Drosophila melanogaster: one gene and its partner. Changing the gene in region 1 together with any one later gene gives a genetic interaction. Each region holds a gene or a part of one and is shown in the gene's direction. Other genes may lie near its edges.

Region 1 (7,524 bases):
TACATATTATTTCCCGCCTGCGGATGCTGCTGATCATGCGGCCCCTGGCTATTCATGTGCTCATGGTCACCCGGCATTGCTATTCGGTGGGACATCAGCGATGGTATGTTCTTCTGCTGATGCTGAAGCATGTGTTGCTGCTGGGACTTCTGGGCCACAATCTGCTGCTCCAGGTGCTGCGCCTGTTTCTCCAGCTGCACAATTTGCTGGCTAGCATGTTGGATAAATACATGATGCTGTTTCTGATAGCTGAAGCATAAGAGTTATGGTTTATTATGTGCTCTATTATGTTCTTGGACTTTTATACTTACTTATCCAAAGTCGCCTTGGTATTCTGCGTGAATTTAGCAGTTATATCATGATGTGTGTTCTGCAGATTGGTTTTGTACTCCTGCATTGACGAGTCCGGTGACTGAAGCTTCGAGATGACGCAGGCATCGAAGAACTTCGCCTTGGACTCCCACAGAGACAGCAGCTTGGCTAGCTTCTGGCGCTGGTCGGGGTTGCCAACTGTGGGCGAGGATAACACTATTAGAAATCCGTAAAGGAATGGATCGAAGTGGAAATACATACTCAAGTCGGCGCTGCAGAACATCGGAATGACGACGTTCTCGAGGCTGTTCTTCAAGTCATTGATGTTCTTGCGCATGCTGTAAATATATCGTTGGACTTAGGTCTCATCTCCTAGCTACTCTAAATGTCAAGGTATGATGTCCGAAGTCCGGTGGTCGGTCAGGTTCAGTCCAATTCTGTCAGCGTAGTCGTCCGCAGAAACTAACCCACAAAGTAGTCTTACTGCTCAGTGGGTTAGTTATTGAGGTCTATGGCCCTTAAATACTATACTATACTAATAATTGACTGGGCGAACTTACCAGTGATGGAGTATATCATTAACTAAATATATAAGATGCAATTTTTGCTGAAACGTTGAACCATTGACCAAAGCCCTAAAAATAAATTAACAAACGAAAAACATATTTTTCTAGTTCTCTGTATGCACAACAACATTGCCAAAAGTACTTGTTGTGCAAGTATAATGATTTTTGTTAGTAAATCTTCTTTCTTTTTGGTATTTGTGTTTTTTTTTTTGGTTTTTTTTTTTTGTCCGATGATTATCACTGTTAAGTGTTGGTGTGTTGTTGTGCGTGTTTATGGTTAAGCTTATTAAGTAAAATGATTTGTTTGGGTGTGTGGCCCTAGCTAAAAGACTTCCGGATCTGGGGACTACTCATATATGATCATAACATCTCTCGAAAACGAATCAACGAATCAATCTCGAGCCTCTCTGTGGAAGTCTCAATCGCACAATCGCTCAATCGATCATCTCTCACTTGTTTGTTCGATATTTCGTATTTCGTTTTTCTATGTTTGGTTAGTATTTCACTCGTTGAAAGAAAGAAACACAATTTAATTAATACATATTGCAGGTCATTAGGTATAAAACTGAGGCATACTTCTTTAAAAGATATTGTAAAACGACATTGATTTTTGCGCTGTCGGTTGAATGCTGTAAAATCCAGTTCTTGCCTAAAATTGCAATATCAAACGGGTTACTCATATTGTCATTGTCCATGGCGATTATAAATTAGGTTTAGGATTAATCAAAAAGTAGTATGGATTCATTTAGTGTGCGCTTTGTGTGCAGCAAAGCTGCGGAGCATCAAAAATTCAGCTCCATTAGCTAACTTATGACTGATTACGAGACTACAAACAAGCAATAATGTAATCCAGCCTGTCCGCTGAACTCGTATTTACCTGCAGAGATGCTGTCCTTCGTGCAGGACTCGATGATCGGCTGCAGAACGCCATCGAAGTCCCTCAGCACAATGCCCTGTTCGCCAGCCATCTGTTCCTGCTGCGCCGTCTGCGCCGCCGCAATTGCATCCTCGATCTGCTTGGTCTTCTGATTCATCAGGGCCTACAGGTTGGTTTCGTTTGGTTGATTGGTGCGATTAGGATCGCAAGCGTTGGTGTGGTTCGGATCGGTTCGGTTTGGTCATTAGGCACACAAAGGTTTGTTCGCATGCATATTCGCATTTTGGGATTCATTTGACAAGCGTTTCAAAACAAATTTGATTTTAGGATTTGTTTTTTTTTTGTTTTTATACAGTTTTGTCAGTTGGTATGAAGAGTGGTTTGATTTGGTTTTTTTTTTTTTGGTTTATGTTTCAAAAAATACAATAAAGCAAAAATTTAATGTAGCATTGTAAATTGTTAATTAAATAGTAAAAATAATGACAAATATAGATTGTAGTTTGATATTGCTGAAAGTACACTTTAACTTTATCTTATCCGCACTTGGAGAACAAGAACTGAGTAGATCGATTGAAAAAACATTTGGAAAAGGGTCGAGAGCAGGATTGATTATTCTGAGGAATTCGTGGATTAGTTTCATAAGAAACAATTTCAAGAGGGAAGTCACTTCCATTACAGGGAAATTCAATAGCGACAAGCAATAAGAAATGTCCTTCTTATTAGAAAGAATTTAGTTCACAGTACTTATAGAGTGAAAAGTCCACAAAAGCAGTTCATAATTATTAATATTAAACACCATTTGATGAACTCTTGTTCCAGAGTTGTTATTACAAAAACTAGGGAATACAAAACTGCCATCTATGAGTCTATGACAATATCTTTGGAAATCATTTAAGTCCGAAAGTATATAAGGGTTATACAAGTTATCTTCTCTCTTAAGAAAATAATTAAAAGCATTCTGGCTTAAAATCGAGGTATATTCACATTCGATTGGGTCGTTTAAAAGGGAGGTCAAAAATTCGAAGAAGCAAACACGTTCTTATATTCAGACTATAAAAGCAACTTTTAGGTGGGTATTTAGTTTAAAAAGGAAACCAATTTGCTTCTTTAAATTTTTGCCAGAGGAGGCCAACATTCAACATGAAATCATATTGAAATCTTTTCTTTATACACTCGAGCTGCTCTAATCTTTCGGAAAAAGGCTTGCAAAGGTGGGCATATAGAGGTATCCCAGTTATTTCCAACTTCAAATTACCGTGTGCTGTGCGGAGAGATTCGCTTCGGATTGCTGGATCTGTTCCCGCAGCGACTTCTGCTGCATCTTGATGGCTTCCAGTTGTGACGTTAGATTCATGGCCATGGGATTGCCATTGGCCTGCTGATTGTTTGGCGGCCCACCGTTGCCGGAGTTCGGCGGCCAGGAGTGCTGTGTTTGCTGTTGCATATTGTCTTGTGCGGTTTCGGGCGGGTGCGGTGGCTGCTGATTGGGTGGCGGATAGAGGCCCGGTGGTTGGGATTGCTGCATTGGCGGCGGATGTTGCATGTAGTGGCCGGATGGAGCACCTGGTGGCAGTTGTTGGTTAATGGCCTGTTGCTTTAGCACTGTATTGGGTGTTAAAAGGAGATTATAGGGGTTATTTTCCACCAATTTAGAACGCACTCACGAGCTTGTTCCGCTGCCACCCTGAATTGATAATAGTTGGCGAACTCCCCGCCGTAGAGGAACTCGAACTTTGGATTGTTCTGCTGCTTCTGCTTGGTTATCGCCTCGAATTCCGGCCCATTTCTGGCCACAAACTCCGCCAGTTTGTCGATAATATTTCGTAAACTGGCATCTGCAAATAGAAAGCAAATGGTTTTTGCAAAAAATGTGAGCATATCAAAGGTTGTGCGTGCGCTTGTTTGTTTGTATGTGTACACATGTGCATGCCAATCGACTTGGGCACAAAATTAGCTTGATTTTAAGTTATATTCAGCACTTTTTAATTGCTGCACTTACCGCGTGGCGGTTGCACGTCCATTTTGCGACTGTTATTAGCACTATTATCCTATGTAAAATACTAAATTCATAACTTTTTGCACTTTTTCAGCGGCACTTTTCACTGCTTCTTCTTGTTTTTTCCGACAGTGTGCCCATATCTTTGTATTCTTAGAACGACATGTAGTCAAATACTAGGAGTTACTCTCGGCACTACTTTTTAAGTAGTTTTTAGCGCTTATCATACGCTTTTTTGAGCAAAAAAGCGGCTTAAACCTTTATCGCTGCTCATTTGTTAAATGTATTTATTGCCAGTAGCAGAAGTTCCAATTAGAATGACGGTGGTAGCAGAGCTGCCAACTTGTTCCACGTTATACCGGTCTCTCTTCTATTATTACCACAACGTGGCAACGCCGCGCGTCTATCTCAGTTCTAAGCTGACAAAAATAGTTTATTTGTGGTAAACAAACATTTAGCCAGGGCAATTTGCACCCAACAGAAATCTCCACGCCGGCCCGTGATTAATGCAGCATCCGAGGAGGCATGACAAATCCGCACTTTAAACCGACAACTCCGCGGACAGCGTGGCATTGAATTACACGGGCTCCCTGGAAATATAATCTTGAAATAGCCACTATATAGTGTGTATATGTATATAGACACATCCGCTAGCAGCAGAATGACCGATAATAAGGGGAGCGTTATCACCATTAATGGCGGCGAATCGGCGGGAAACTCGCCGCCCTCGCAGCGGAAGTCCTCGACGTCGGAATCTCCGCCGGAACTCCGTATCCTTTGCTTTGACCTCACCTACTACAATCGCACAACTCAGTTCCTGCTCAGCTGCGCCGGCGTCTTCTTCCTGTACATCCTGTACGGCTATCTGCAGGAGCTGATCTTCACCGTCGAAGGATTCAAACCCTACGGATGGTTCCTCACGCTCGTCCAGTTTGGCTACTACATCGGCTTCGGTTTGGTGGAGCGGCGGCTGGAGGGCTATCGGATAAGCGGCGGTTCCTTTTGGAACATTGAGCCGGAGCCACGTTGCATTCCCATGAGAACATACCTAATTCTGGCTGCTCTCACGCTGGGTACCATGGGTCTGTCCAACTCAAGTCTCGGCTACCTGAACTATCCCACCCAGGTGATTTTCAAGTGCTGCAAGCTCATTCCCGTGCTGGTGGGCAGCATCCTCATACAGGGCAAACGCTACGGACTGCTGGACTTTGCGGCAGCCACCTGCATGTGCATCGGATTGGCCTGGTTCACGCTGGCCGACTCCCAGATGACGCCCAATTTCAATCTGCTTGGTGTGGCCATGATTTCGGGAGCGCTGCTCTGCGACGCAGCCATTGGCAATGTCCAGGAGAAGGCGATGCGGGAATTCAAGGCGCCCAGCAGTGAGGTGGTGTTCTACTCATACGGCTTGGGTTTTGTGTACCTATTTGTGATTATGCTGGTTACCGGCAACTTCTTCAGCGGCTTTGCATTCTGTTTGGAGGTGGGTAACATTTGAGGTTTATGATGTAAGAGATCTAAAGTGTATTATCCATTTAGCATCCCGTTGAGACCTTCGGCTATGGCTTCCTCTTTAGTTTGTCCGGCTATCTGGGCATTCAGTTTGTGCTGGCTCTGGTGAGGAGTAGTGGTGCCCCCATAGCTGCCACAGTGACCACCGCCCGCAAGGCTGTGACTATAGCCTTCTCCTTTGTGCTTTTCAGCAAGCCCTTTACCTTACAGTAAGTACTATTCTGTGTATTTCTAAAGACAAAGCTCTATTATACCTATCCCAAACTTTCAGATATCTGTGGTCGGGCCTCATCGTTGTCCTGGGCATATATCTCAATGTCTACAGCAAGAGGAACAAGCTGACGTTGGCCGACGTCCGGCAGAGAATAAAGCAATTTGGAGCCAAGGTTGCCCGCTCACCGAGTCGCAAATTCCTCATCGAAGTTTAGAACGATACCAAAAACACTCACATTTTAGTTGAATTGGAAGCATGGGTTTTCTATAAGAAAACCATTAAATATAATTACTTAATTACATTCTAAACAAACTATGTGCTATCTGTCCATGTCGAACTCCATTACGCGCTTGAAGAGATCCTGGCGCTCCTTGGCGGAGGTTATCTGACCCATGGTGCGGTCCAGGAACTGTTTTTGGTGCTTGACTATGAACTTGTTGCATTGGATGATGGTGGCACCAATGTACAGCGTCCTAAACTTGGCCCGTACATCTCCGATCTGAAAGAAATGTGGTTTTATAGCTGGTTTAAGGACATGGCAATGAGACCAACCAAAGTAATCAATGGCAATACGCTGGACACGAAGCGTTGGCCTCGATGGAGACAGCGTATGATTGCCATTTTCGTGCGATCGTTGATGTATTTCACTCGAAATCCCTGCTCGATCACGGCGAGGCCATAGACTCCGTAATACTTCTCCACATTCTGAAGCAGGATCTTGGTCAGGCTGTGGTCGTTGAGTCGCAGAGATTGTGTTGGCGTGTAGGGCACAATCTGCACCGCTATATACCTGTTTATGGATGGTTTAATTAATGATCGTTAAGGAAAACGCGGTCAATATTTACCTATTCTTTATGCGAACCATCGCTGTGTCATCAATATGGCAACGTCGCAGATAGTTGCCAGACCAAATTCGCTTCAACTACCGATAACGTATCGGTTTTCAAAATTCCGGAAATAGCTGTTCGGTTTTTTATGTGATAAATAAATGTTGTCTTATTGTATACGGATGAAAAAAATATTCCTCAATAAAGGATTCAGCTGTATTTAAATAAACGTTAGCTGGAAAAGACTATTTATATATCTTTATCCTTATTTGCATATCCGATATTCTCTCTAAAAAATTCAAATTTTTTTCCAAATCCAAAAGTCTTGTAATTTATTTGGAACGCTTGAATAGATAATGACCTTGTATGTTCAATATGTTTATATAGCGTGAGAACTTAGAATTTCTTATTTGGTGTATATTTTCAATCGAAAAATCAACCTTTTACTTTTTAGAAAGTCTTTTGTTCGAGTTTGATGTATTGAAAATAAATGCATGGACATACATTGTTTTCCACCCATTCACTTGTATTTTGACAATTGAACAATGGATTCGGGGAATCGGACAGAGAAACTGGCAACTTGTCGACCAATTCATGGATGTGGGCAGAACATTCCTCACTGCCGCTGCCCACGTTTCGCTCTCCGGCGACAAACGGAATGGGGGGCATTGCTCCAGTGCCAGTGGGGATTTCTCCATCTGTTCGTTGAATCTAAACACATATCTATATAATATATAGATATATATTCGCAGACTTGGGGATGCGGGGATCTCAGCGCAACGCATCGCATTATAGCTGGCTGGCGCACATATGCAGATATCGTGGCTGCCCCGTCGACGGCTCCCCATGCCGCTCCACTGGATGGGATGTGCTCCATCCAACGAGCGATCGGTGGCCGTGGAAAACCACTATACGGCTCGTGTTCAGTCTCCGGGGCAGCGAATGCGGCGGGATACGCTCCGATCGCGTTTTATTTTTGCTTTTTCCCATCGCACTTTACAGTCATTTCTAAAAAACAATAAAATTCGGGCAGCGGCGTGGAAAAACGCTACATATACTCCAACGATCCGAACATCCACCGATTGATCGGCAGCCGCATTCGTGTTTTTCCGCTTTTCCGTGGCAAGTTCACCGATTGTGGTCTATATTTTGGAAAACGCATCCGCGCAGCCTCGCAGTTGGAACGAATACTCCGTGACGATCGCTTCGCAAGATTAGGC
Region 2 (8,677 bases), on another chromosome or scaffold:
TGTATAGATGGGCACATATCATAACTTAGAAACCTCATCTTTGATTTGTAAAGCAGCCATATCTTATTCAACCAAATTCAAGGTCCAGTGACGCGTGCGCGTTGGGATTTGAATATAGAAAGCCTTATTACCGGTCATACTCAATATTCATTAACGTACGTGCAGCCGGTCATTAAGCGCCAATTATAGATTCCATTTCTCCGAATGTATCTGCAGTTTTTGTGGCTGCTACTGCTGACGACGACGACGACGACGACGTCCGCCAAGCCCACCAACTCCAGTGATTCTGGCACCAAGAATGGAATGCTGCATGTGACCAGCTTTGTGAACCAGAAGCCCAAGTCGGGAGTACGTGAAGAGTTCGATTTCGAGCAGAATGAGGCGGAGGCCACCAACTCGGCGCATCTGCAACAGCTCTTCGGCAGTTTGTTGCAACTGCCTGGTAAGGGAAACATGAGTCTGGAGCTGTCCCTGGAGACGGACGACGATCCGGTCAGCGAGCGAAACCAGCTGGATGATGAGATGAAGGCCACTGGCGAGCAGCATGAGGGCTTCACCGAAACTGCGGATGCATGGCATCGCATTAAGCTAAATATTCCGGTCCTGGAGCCGGTGAAGCACCTGATAAACACAGTTGGCGGTGGCGGCGTGAACGACTCCCATGTGAAGAGCAATACTCATCGGCTGATTGGACACCATGGCGTCCACGAAACTCACCACAATGGCGGGAACATCAGCTCCCCGGCCATCGAAACGGAGGAGGATCGGGAGACAGCCATCGACAGCACCGGATTCGATGTTCTGGAAACGTTGGGCAGCGCGGGAACGGTTCTGTTCAGCATCTTGCAGAATCTTCGCAAGGTGTTTGCCGCTAGCGCTGGAAGTGCAAGTTCCGCATCCTCGGGGGGCGGCGGCGGTGGAGCAAACTAGTGGACTTTCTCGGAGATTATGTTCTGTGATTAATATAAGTCTTGTGCAAATTCGGATTTCCCTTGATTCTTACTAATTAAATAAACGAAATGTTATGAAAATGGAGAAATTAATATTTCGATTTTGGGAAATAGATTTTGCCACTACCCCAAAAAAGACTTGCAGTTGGATTTTATAAAATATTTTACTGTCTTAATTCTGGTTTTTTATACGATACTCTTAAGTAGCCTACATGAACTCATAGTTTCCGTCGTCAAAGTTGCGATTGCCGACCATTGGACCGCCTGCTCCCATTTGATTGGGATTCTGGCCACCCATTTGCGGCCGGAACTGATTGCCTGGCGTGGTCTGGTGCTGCAAGAGCTGGCGCAGCCCCGGGTTGTTGTTGCTCATCATGGGACGCACCATGCGCTGCTGCTGCTGTTGCGCCTGCTGCTGCTGCATTGCGGCGACGTTTGGCGCCACTTGTTGCAACTGCTGCTGGAGGTTTGGATTGGGCACGCCACCGGGACCAACACCCACGCCAACACCTACGCCCAGTGGCATTCGCTGTTGCTGCATCATGTTCATCTGCATTTGATTCTGTTGCATGGGCATGCCGCCGGGACCGGGACCAGGTCCGCCGCCAGGACCTCCACCACCCATCTGCATATTGAGTTGGAACTGGTTGTAGTGTTGCTGCTGCGAGTTATCCTGTTGCATCTGTTGCTGCTGTTGTTGTTGTTGCTGTTGCTGCTGCAGCTCCATGGGCGACTTGCCTTGCTGCTGCATCATTTGCTGCTGTTGCTGCTGCTGTTGCATGTTGCCGTGCTGCTTTTGCTGTATGACTTTGCGCAGACGTTCCACAAACATTGCCTGATTATTGGGAATGAAGCCCAGAAAAGCGTTGCGATCGGGCGTGTAGAGTAGGATGAGAACCTTAAGGTCACAGGCTGGTGAGTTGGGGATGGAGGAGAAGTGGACGCAGCCAGCATAGCCGGAGGTCATCATCTTGGCCAGCGAATCGAGTGCCTCTCCTGGAGTGGGTCGAAAAACAACCATTTTCGAGTCCTTGAGAAACTGCCCACCAATATTGCCAACTAGGTGCTTGGGCATTAGCTGCATCAACAGCTTGGGCGGCCAGTTCTCAGCCTTGATCTCGGGCTCGCCATCTTTGATGTTGGTGCACACGGTACACTGGAGTGTATGGGGAATCTTCTGTTGATCGGACTTTGGCTTCTCTGACCACTCCAGCACTCCGGTCCATATCTTTTCCCTCAAGGAGGCCTGCTCCTGCTGCGAATTTCCCTGCTGTTGCTGCTGCGGATTGCCCTGCTGCTGCGGATTCGACTGTTGTCCTACTTGTTGTTGCTGCTGCTGCGGATTAGACATGTTGCCGGCATTGCTAGCCGGCATCATATTGTTTCCTGCATTGGGATTTACCTGCTGCTGTTGCTGTCCTTGCTGCTGCTGTTGCTGTTGCTGGGCCAGTTGCTGTTGCTGCTGCAACTGCTGGTGATTTAGCATCTGCTGCTGGCTCAGCATCTGCATCCTTTGTTGCTGCTGCTGTTGGGCCTGTTGTTGCTGCTGCTGCTGCTGCTGCGCCTGCTGCTGTTGCTGCTGCTGCAGCGAGGTCACAGTTTGGTTCGGCGGCGGCGCATTAATGCGCGATATCAGAGCAGAATTTGGATTCTGTTGCATGCCGCCGCCTTGGCCCACACCGCCCACATTGCCTGCTCCCTGCATGAAGGGCGGACGCGCCTGACCAGGCTGGTTGGGATACATCCAGCGGTTTTGGCCGGGTCCCACGTTTTGCTGGAAGTTCTGATTCTGCATTTGATTGGAAACGAATTGATTCTGCTGCTGCTGCTGCAATAGTTGCTGCTGCTGCTGTGGATTGAGTAAGCCCGCTGGGGGATTTGGACCGGGCTGCTGTTGCTGCATCGTGTTCATGTTCATGACCTGCTGCTGAGGATTGCCTTGTTGTTGCTGTTGCTGCTGCTGTTGTTGTTGCTGTTGCTGCTGCTGGGCTGGAGTGGTGTCCATGGGCATGCCCTGCCCTTGTTGTTGCTGACCAGCTTGATTTTGTTGCTGTTGTTGTTGCTGCTGCACTGTAGCCTGTGCCGCATTGGGTGCAGCCATTTGGGCCGCCATGCTGTTGGGACTAGGTGCTCTCTCCTTGAGGCTGTATCCCTTTAGAAGCACTAGGTGTCTTATGTTCTTGGCATAGTTTTTGCTCGTAATGGGCTGATCTCCGTCGGCCTTCATGAAAAGTTTGAACAACACCGGCATCTTGCGTGGCGCAATAATGGAGAGATTGATTTTGCGCTCGTTGAAGAGCGCCGCCAGCTGCTCACATGATTTGCCCGGATACTTCCACGACTCCGTTGTGGGCATCTGGTACGGCGGACTGTTGCAGATGAGAATGCAGTGCCTCTGGACGCTGGTCTGATCGAGCAACTGGCGCCTTTCGCTGATGTCATCAAAACAGCCGTGGGCCGCAGCAAATCCTTCGGCCATGTGGGCACAGGACTCCATTCCGCCTCCCACTAGTGGCAATCTTTCGATCGTCTCCATCACTTTTTGGGGCTGCAGAAAGGGACCATAGGTTGAACAAACTGGCTCCAGCAGATTGGCCGCTGTACGGTAGACCACAATACCGTACAGAGTGGCAAAGCGCTCCGCAATCAGGTATTCCCGCTCGTCGATGGAGCCAGTGGTGAAGTGCTCCAAAGTCGGCAGGATGTAGTTGGTCTTTAGTTCGTTGATGTAGGCTCCGTTGATGGCGCTGCCCTCGATGACGAAGACCACGTCGGCCAGGGGAATCTGGTCCACCTCCATTGGACGATGGGAGTTGGCTTTAAGTTGAAAAACTTGTTGCAAAAAATGTAAACTATGTTGTCTGCTTTACACCGCTCTTTTACTTTTTTCGTTTGTTTTGCATATCGCTCTGCTGCTATCGATAGTCAACTTATGGTTATCGCTCAGCGATTGCTAGGGCTGCAAAATAAATGAATATTCAAAAGTGCCCATAAAGTTGGATTTAAGAATATGCAGATTGCCTTGAAAACTTGTTTCTATTGAATTCTTTTTCTATTTTCACAAATAAAAAAACGTTTGGTGTTTATCTAATTAACTTAAAATTGAATATTGCATACAAAAGATAACTATAAATAAGATATTACGATGTTTTATGTTAGGTATCATAATTATAGTTGTTTTATGTATGTATTTTCAATGGAACTATAAAGTTAATTCTTTAAATATTCGTTACCAATAGTTTATATCGATGGTTGCAAGTGCTGCCAGACTCTCGCAGCGAGTTTCCGTTCGGCAGTCTGGCAGCGCGGTCAGCTGTTCCTATTGCCCAACTTGCGCAGTTCGTTTTGTTCAGTTCATTCGCCGATTTTGAAGAATGCGGACGTTGACGCTGGTACCGCGTCGTTTTGCCAAAATAATTCGTAAAAAATATACGCAAAACGCTTAGAAAGTGTCAATTAACTAAACATTAGCTATTGAGCAGTGCAAGTGCAGGAAAAACGATCGCAGAAATAGCCGAAAACACATGAAAGTGCGAATTGCGGGCTTTTTTGTGGCTGGCACAGAATGTGTGGCACAAAGCGGAAAGCGCGCTAATTGAGCGTGCGAGCGCCTGAAACGCAGAGAAATGTAAATAAATAAACGTGTGACGCCGCGACAATTGTGAAAAGTGCACAAACACGACGTTTGGCAAGTGAAAAGTGAGTGAAATCTAGATAAATTTCATTAAATTGCCCATTTCGCATCTGGCAAGAAGAACAGCTGTTGTTTGGCATCTCGCTCTGTCTGGTTGTCCTCTCTCTTATTTTGCCCTCTCTCTGTTTTTGTTGCTCCCCTTTGCTTCTGTTTTTTTTTACTGCAATGTTGCTAAATCGTTTGATTCTATTATTATAATTATACTCCTTGCCCTGACGTCACTGCCTCGAAAAACCTGATAATTTGGGTAGGCAATTAGCATGGTTTAAGTATAGTTTAGAGTACAGAGAAGTGAATTAAACGGCCATGTGTGCACAGCATGCATGCTTTTTTGTTATTGTTGCCTGGCAACATGTTTCGCCACATCTGCCTTTTTTTTCTTGTCTCTCTGTTAGTCCAATTTGCCAATAAGCAACTTTTCCATTTGTTTACAATAATTGTGATCGCTACAGAAGCACCGATCGTGAAGTAAAAAGCGCCTACATAAATATAAGGCACCAGTTATGCTTGGGCGTCACTCCGACTGCCGATCGCCAGTTATTTTAGTTGGGTGTTTGTACATTTAAATACCCTACCTAAATGCAACTTACTCGCATGTAGTCAATATCATTCAAACCCTAATATGTTACGCATTTTCCAATCGGGTTTATCACATATAAACAATATCGAAGCCAGATAAAGCGACTTGTGATAATAATCACCCATACAACAAAGGCTGTTCATTCATTATATTTACCATATTATTGATAACTATTTTTATAACTGAACTACAATATGTTCTTATAAATAAAGAATCACTAGATAATTTAAATATTAAATGAAATAAGTACAAACTATTTTTTAACTATAATAAGTTATTATTTGAGTAATTGCACGTATTATCATGTACGGATGTAGGTTTTTTGCTTTAAATAATAAACGTATTTAAACGTATTTTTAATTGATTAAGGGTATACTAAATGCATTGCTTTCGGCTCCGCCATTCACTTTCCACTATTGCGTCATTATTGGTTGATTTATGTATTTTATCGTTACGCTATACATTTGCAGATCGCATTCGCGCGTGGAAATTTAATTTAAGATTTCCCACACAAATAAAGATAAATTTGTTATTGCACAAACGTTTGTTATTCACGCCCGTCTTGAATACTTACTAATAGATTTGCAATTAAAATAGGGTCAGATTAAACGATAAATCAACTTCACCGCCTGCTTATCAGTTTTTGACCCTAACAAAAAAATAGAAAGTCCAATTAACTATGTATGTACGTTTTAATTGTGAACTTCTTATCAGTCTGCCATAGATTTAGGTTCTTAAAAACTATTTTTGATTTTCCCCTGAAGAGCTTTCAGCTACTAAGTAAGTGGCTAGATAAGGGCTAGACAATTTGACAGACCGCTTTATCGGCATGGTCAAGTGGTAACTAATCGGAAACGGTGTTGCTTTTGTAGTGCTCCCAAAACTAATAGGTTTCTAACCGTTTTTCACTCTTACTCCATTTGCAGGCACTGAAAGCCGAGAGACAAGGAAAACCCATTTCCGCGCCAAGTGCAATGGGCGAAGGTGTTCCCATTTTTCGAGTTCTTATCGGGCAGCGACTGAAGTATGATTGAGTTGGCCTCGCCTCCGATTCGCGTCTGGTTCTCGTTGCGCTAGGCCGATACGGATACCCGCTTGGACTCCACTCGGGTGGACCCTTGTTGGACCTTTAGTGCGATTTTCGAGGGAGGCCAGGGAATGGAACATGCCCGGGGATATGCATAAGAACGTATCTGTTCAAGTCGATAGTGATTTTGCCTTATTGCTGCCCAGTGGTGTTTATGAAATCAAGAAAATGGAACCGCGCTCCAAAATCCGAACAATCATTGTGTTTTGCCTCTTCCTGGCCATCGCCGGCATCATCGGATTTGGATACTTTTGTCAAGATCAGGTAAGTGCCAAATCCCCTCATTAATTCCCATTGCTTATAATTTATAATTTTCTGTTACTTGGCTCCAATGCAAATTAGCACACCAATTGGCGAAATGCTGAATTTATTCATTAATATTTGCCGTACATGTGTGCTTTTATTGGAATTACCATTCATACATTTTTGGATCGCACGAAACTTGTTTTGCTATGGCGCATTAATAAATTTATTATTTAAAATATTCGTATAAAAATATGCGTTGGAGTGTTTTTCCCTTCGGCGCTAAAGACAGCTTTTATAATATAGAACTCTTTCTCGATGTTTATCAATTTTTTGGGAGCTTTAATTAGACAAAACAAAATGTTTTGTTTACAGCCTTTCGGTTGGCGCCTTTAAAACTCGGAAATTGTTTACGCAAACGCAAAGGTGCTAATGAAATTCCTCCAAAAATGGAAAATGTGTAACATAATAAGATTTCGCTTGCAGGCGATTGTGCTTCTGTGTTATTATTCATAAATCTTTGACACGCGTGCCCCGTATTGAAATTAGTCTAATCTGTAGCATAAAGTTTACAAACAACTATGGATTTCTGGTTGGTATATTTGGGTCACTACTCATAATATCGCCCATAAATCTTCGGCGTGGTTGATTGAAATTTGTCTTATCTGTTGGACTAATAAGGCTTCCCCCCGCGCATCTAATGAATGATTTAATGGCCGAGGTGTAAAGTGCATTCGTGGGCCATAAAAACCGAACCGAGGCAAAACAGCACATAAAATTCTACCCTGGGGACACATAAACCCGCACCAGTCGCTATTCCTTCAATTTTTGCTGCCTCGCGGTGTTCATATACTTGCGTACTTTGGATATATTTAACTATTAATCCAGCTCGTGCCAGTCACGTCTAAAAAAAGCCACGATGAAATTGTTTGAAGAAGGTCATCAATTGCCAATTGCAGGCGAAACAAAAATTTAATATATGTACATACATAAATACATACGCCTCGATGAGTTCTATCATATGTGTGGCTGTTGAAAAATGTTTCAATTTCGTTCTGGCGGTCTTTAATTAAACAAGAAACAAATTCGTTGATGCTCCAAGAACCGAAAAAGAAGTCAAGTGGGCGTGACTTTTAGCAAGAGTTCAATGTCAAATGGCTGTGTTTATGATACAGATATATGTATATAAATGTTTATTCTATATATTTTCGTGCTTTTCGCTTTTTGCTATCGGCGGGTCTGTCTGCAGTGAGCATTAAACTATTTTCCAAATTGAAATAGCTAGCCAAAATGACATTAATTGAGCGCAGCTGCCTCGCCCTCTGGTTTTCCCTGTTTTCCGCACGCGATCTGGCCAGACATAGTGACGAGCAGGGCGTGGCCACGCCCCCTGCCGATGCGTACGTTGGAAAATTCGCCGTCTTTAAAAATAGCTTAATTAGTTGTACGCGCCATAAACGAAAAATATGCTTAGTGCTTGTATTAGTGTGGCGAAAGGCAAACATGAAAATTGGGCTCATGAGGTTGCGTGTCCAATGGAAAACAGACAGATTATTCTATTATTTGGGATGCGAGGGCGGCCCATTTCGGTGATTCTTTCAGATTTGTAACCTTAATGGGCCAAGTTGAATATAAATTACTCGGTCGCAATGGGAGTACTTTGTTCCCGGAATACTTTAACTCTTGCTACTTGGCCTGATAAATTACAAGCTATTTTTAATTGTCCTTCTTTGCTGAACTTAAGTAGCAGTAACAGTCCTCTTTCAGATCATTAAGCCAGTAATGTTACATTACTTGCGAGGAAAAAATGATTTAATAATATGACAGGCAGATAATAAAAAATATAAATTGCTACTGTTCGATAAACTGAATCGCATTTAATTTGGTATTGAAAGGAAAACAGAATTGATTGCTTTGGCGGGTTTGTTTTCAAACAGCTCCGTTTTTTCGGTATATACAATAGGTGCATTTTACTATATTAAATCTAAAAAAATTATTGTTTATGAGTTCTTAAAACAAAGTAAAAAGGTTTTAACTTAATAGCAAAAAATGTAATTGAAGTCTATTTATTAAAACTGCTAAAAGAAACAATCATTGACAGGTTAATAAGTACTTGAATAGTT

Evidence for each region.
Region 2: of Papst2 (region 1) and Hs6st, changing one enhances a phenotype caused by changing the other (phenotypic enhancement), as found in Drosophila melanogaster (one study listed by BioGRID).

The regions. Positions count from the first base shown.
Region 1 is NT_037436.4:17,038,684-17,046,207, forward strand, and holds Papst2 (PAPS transporter 2), read left to right. Parts: upstream 1-4,113; 5' UTR 4,114-4,382; coding exon 4,383-5,234; intron 5,235-5,290; coding exon 5,291-5,472; intron 5,473-5,534; coding exon 5,535-5,691; 3' UTR 5,692-5,782; downstream 5,783-7,524. Other genes in the region: scaf6 (SR-related CTD associated factor 6), read right to left, coding at 1-249, 312-510, 574-650, 873-947, 1,455-1,527, 1,756-1,918, 3,011-3,357, 3,420-3,590 and 1 more; POP5 ribonuclease P/MRP subunit, read right to left, coding at 5,797-5,976, 6,030-6,267, 6,323-6,342. UniProt on the Drosophila melanogaster protein: Mediates the transport of adenosine 3'-phospho 5'-phosphosulfate (PAPS), from cytosol into Golgi. PAPS is a universal sulfuryl donor for sulfation events that take place in the Golgi. Essential for viability.
Region 2 is NT_033777.3:20,004,133-20,012,809, reverse strand, and holds the start of Hs6st (heparan sulfate 6-O-sulfotransferase), read left to right. Parts: upstream 1-4,297; 5' UTR 4,298-4,649; intron 4,650-6,150; 5' UTR 6,151-6,389; coding exon 6,390-6,575; intron 6,576-8,677. Other genes in the region: CG17190 (uncharacterized protein), read left to right, coding at 217-930; MED25 (mediator complex subunit 25), read right to left, coding at 1,159-3,750.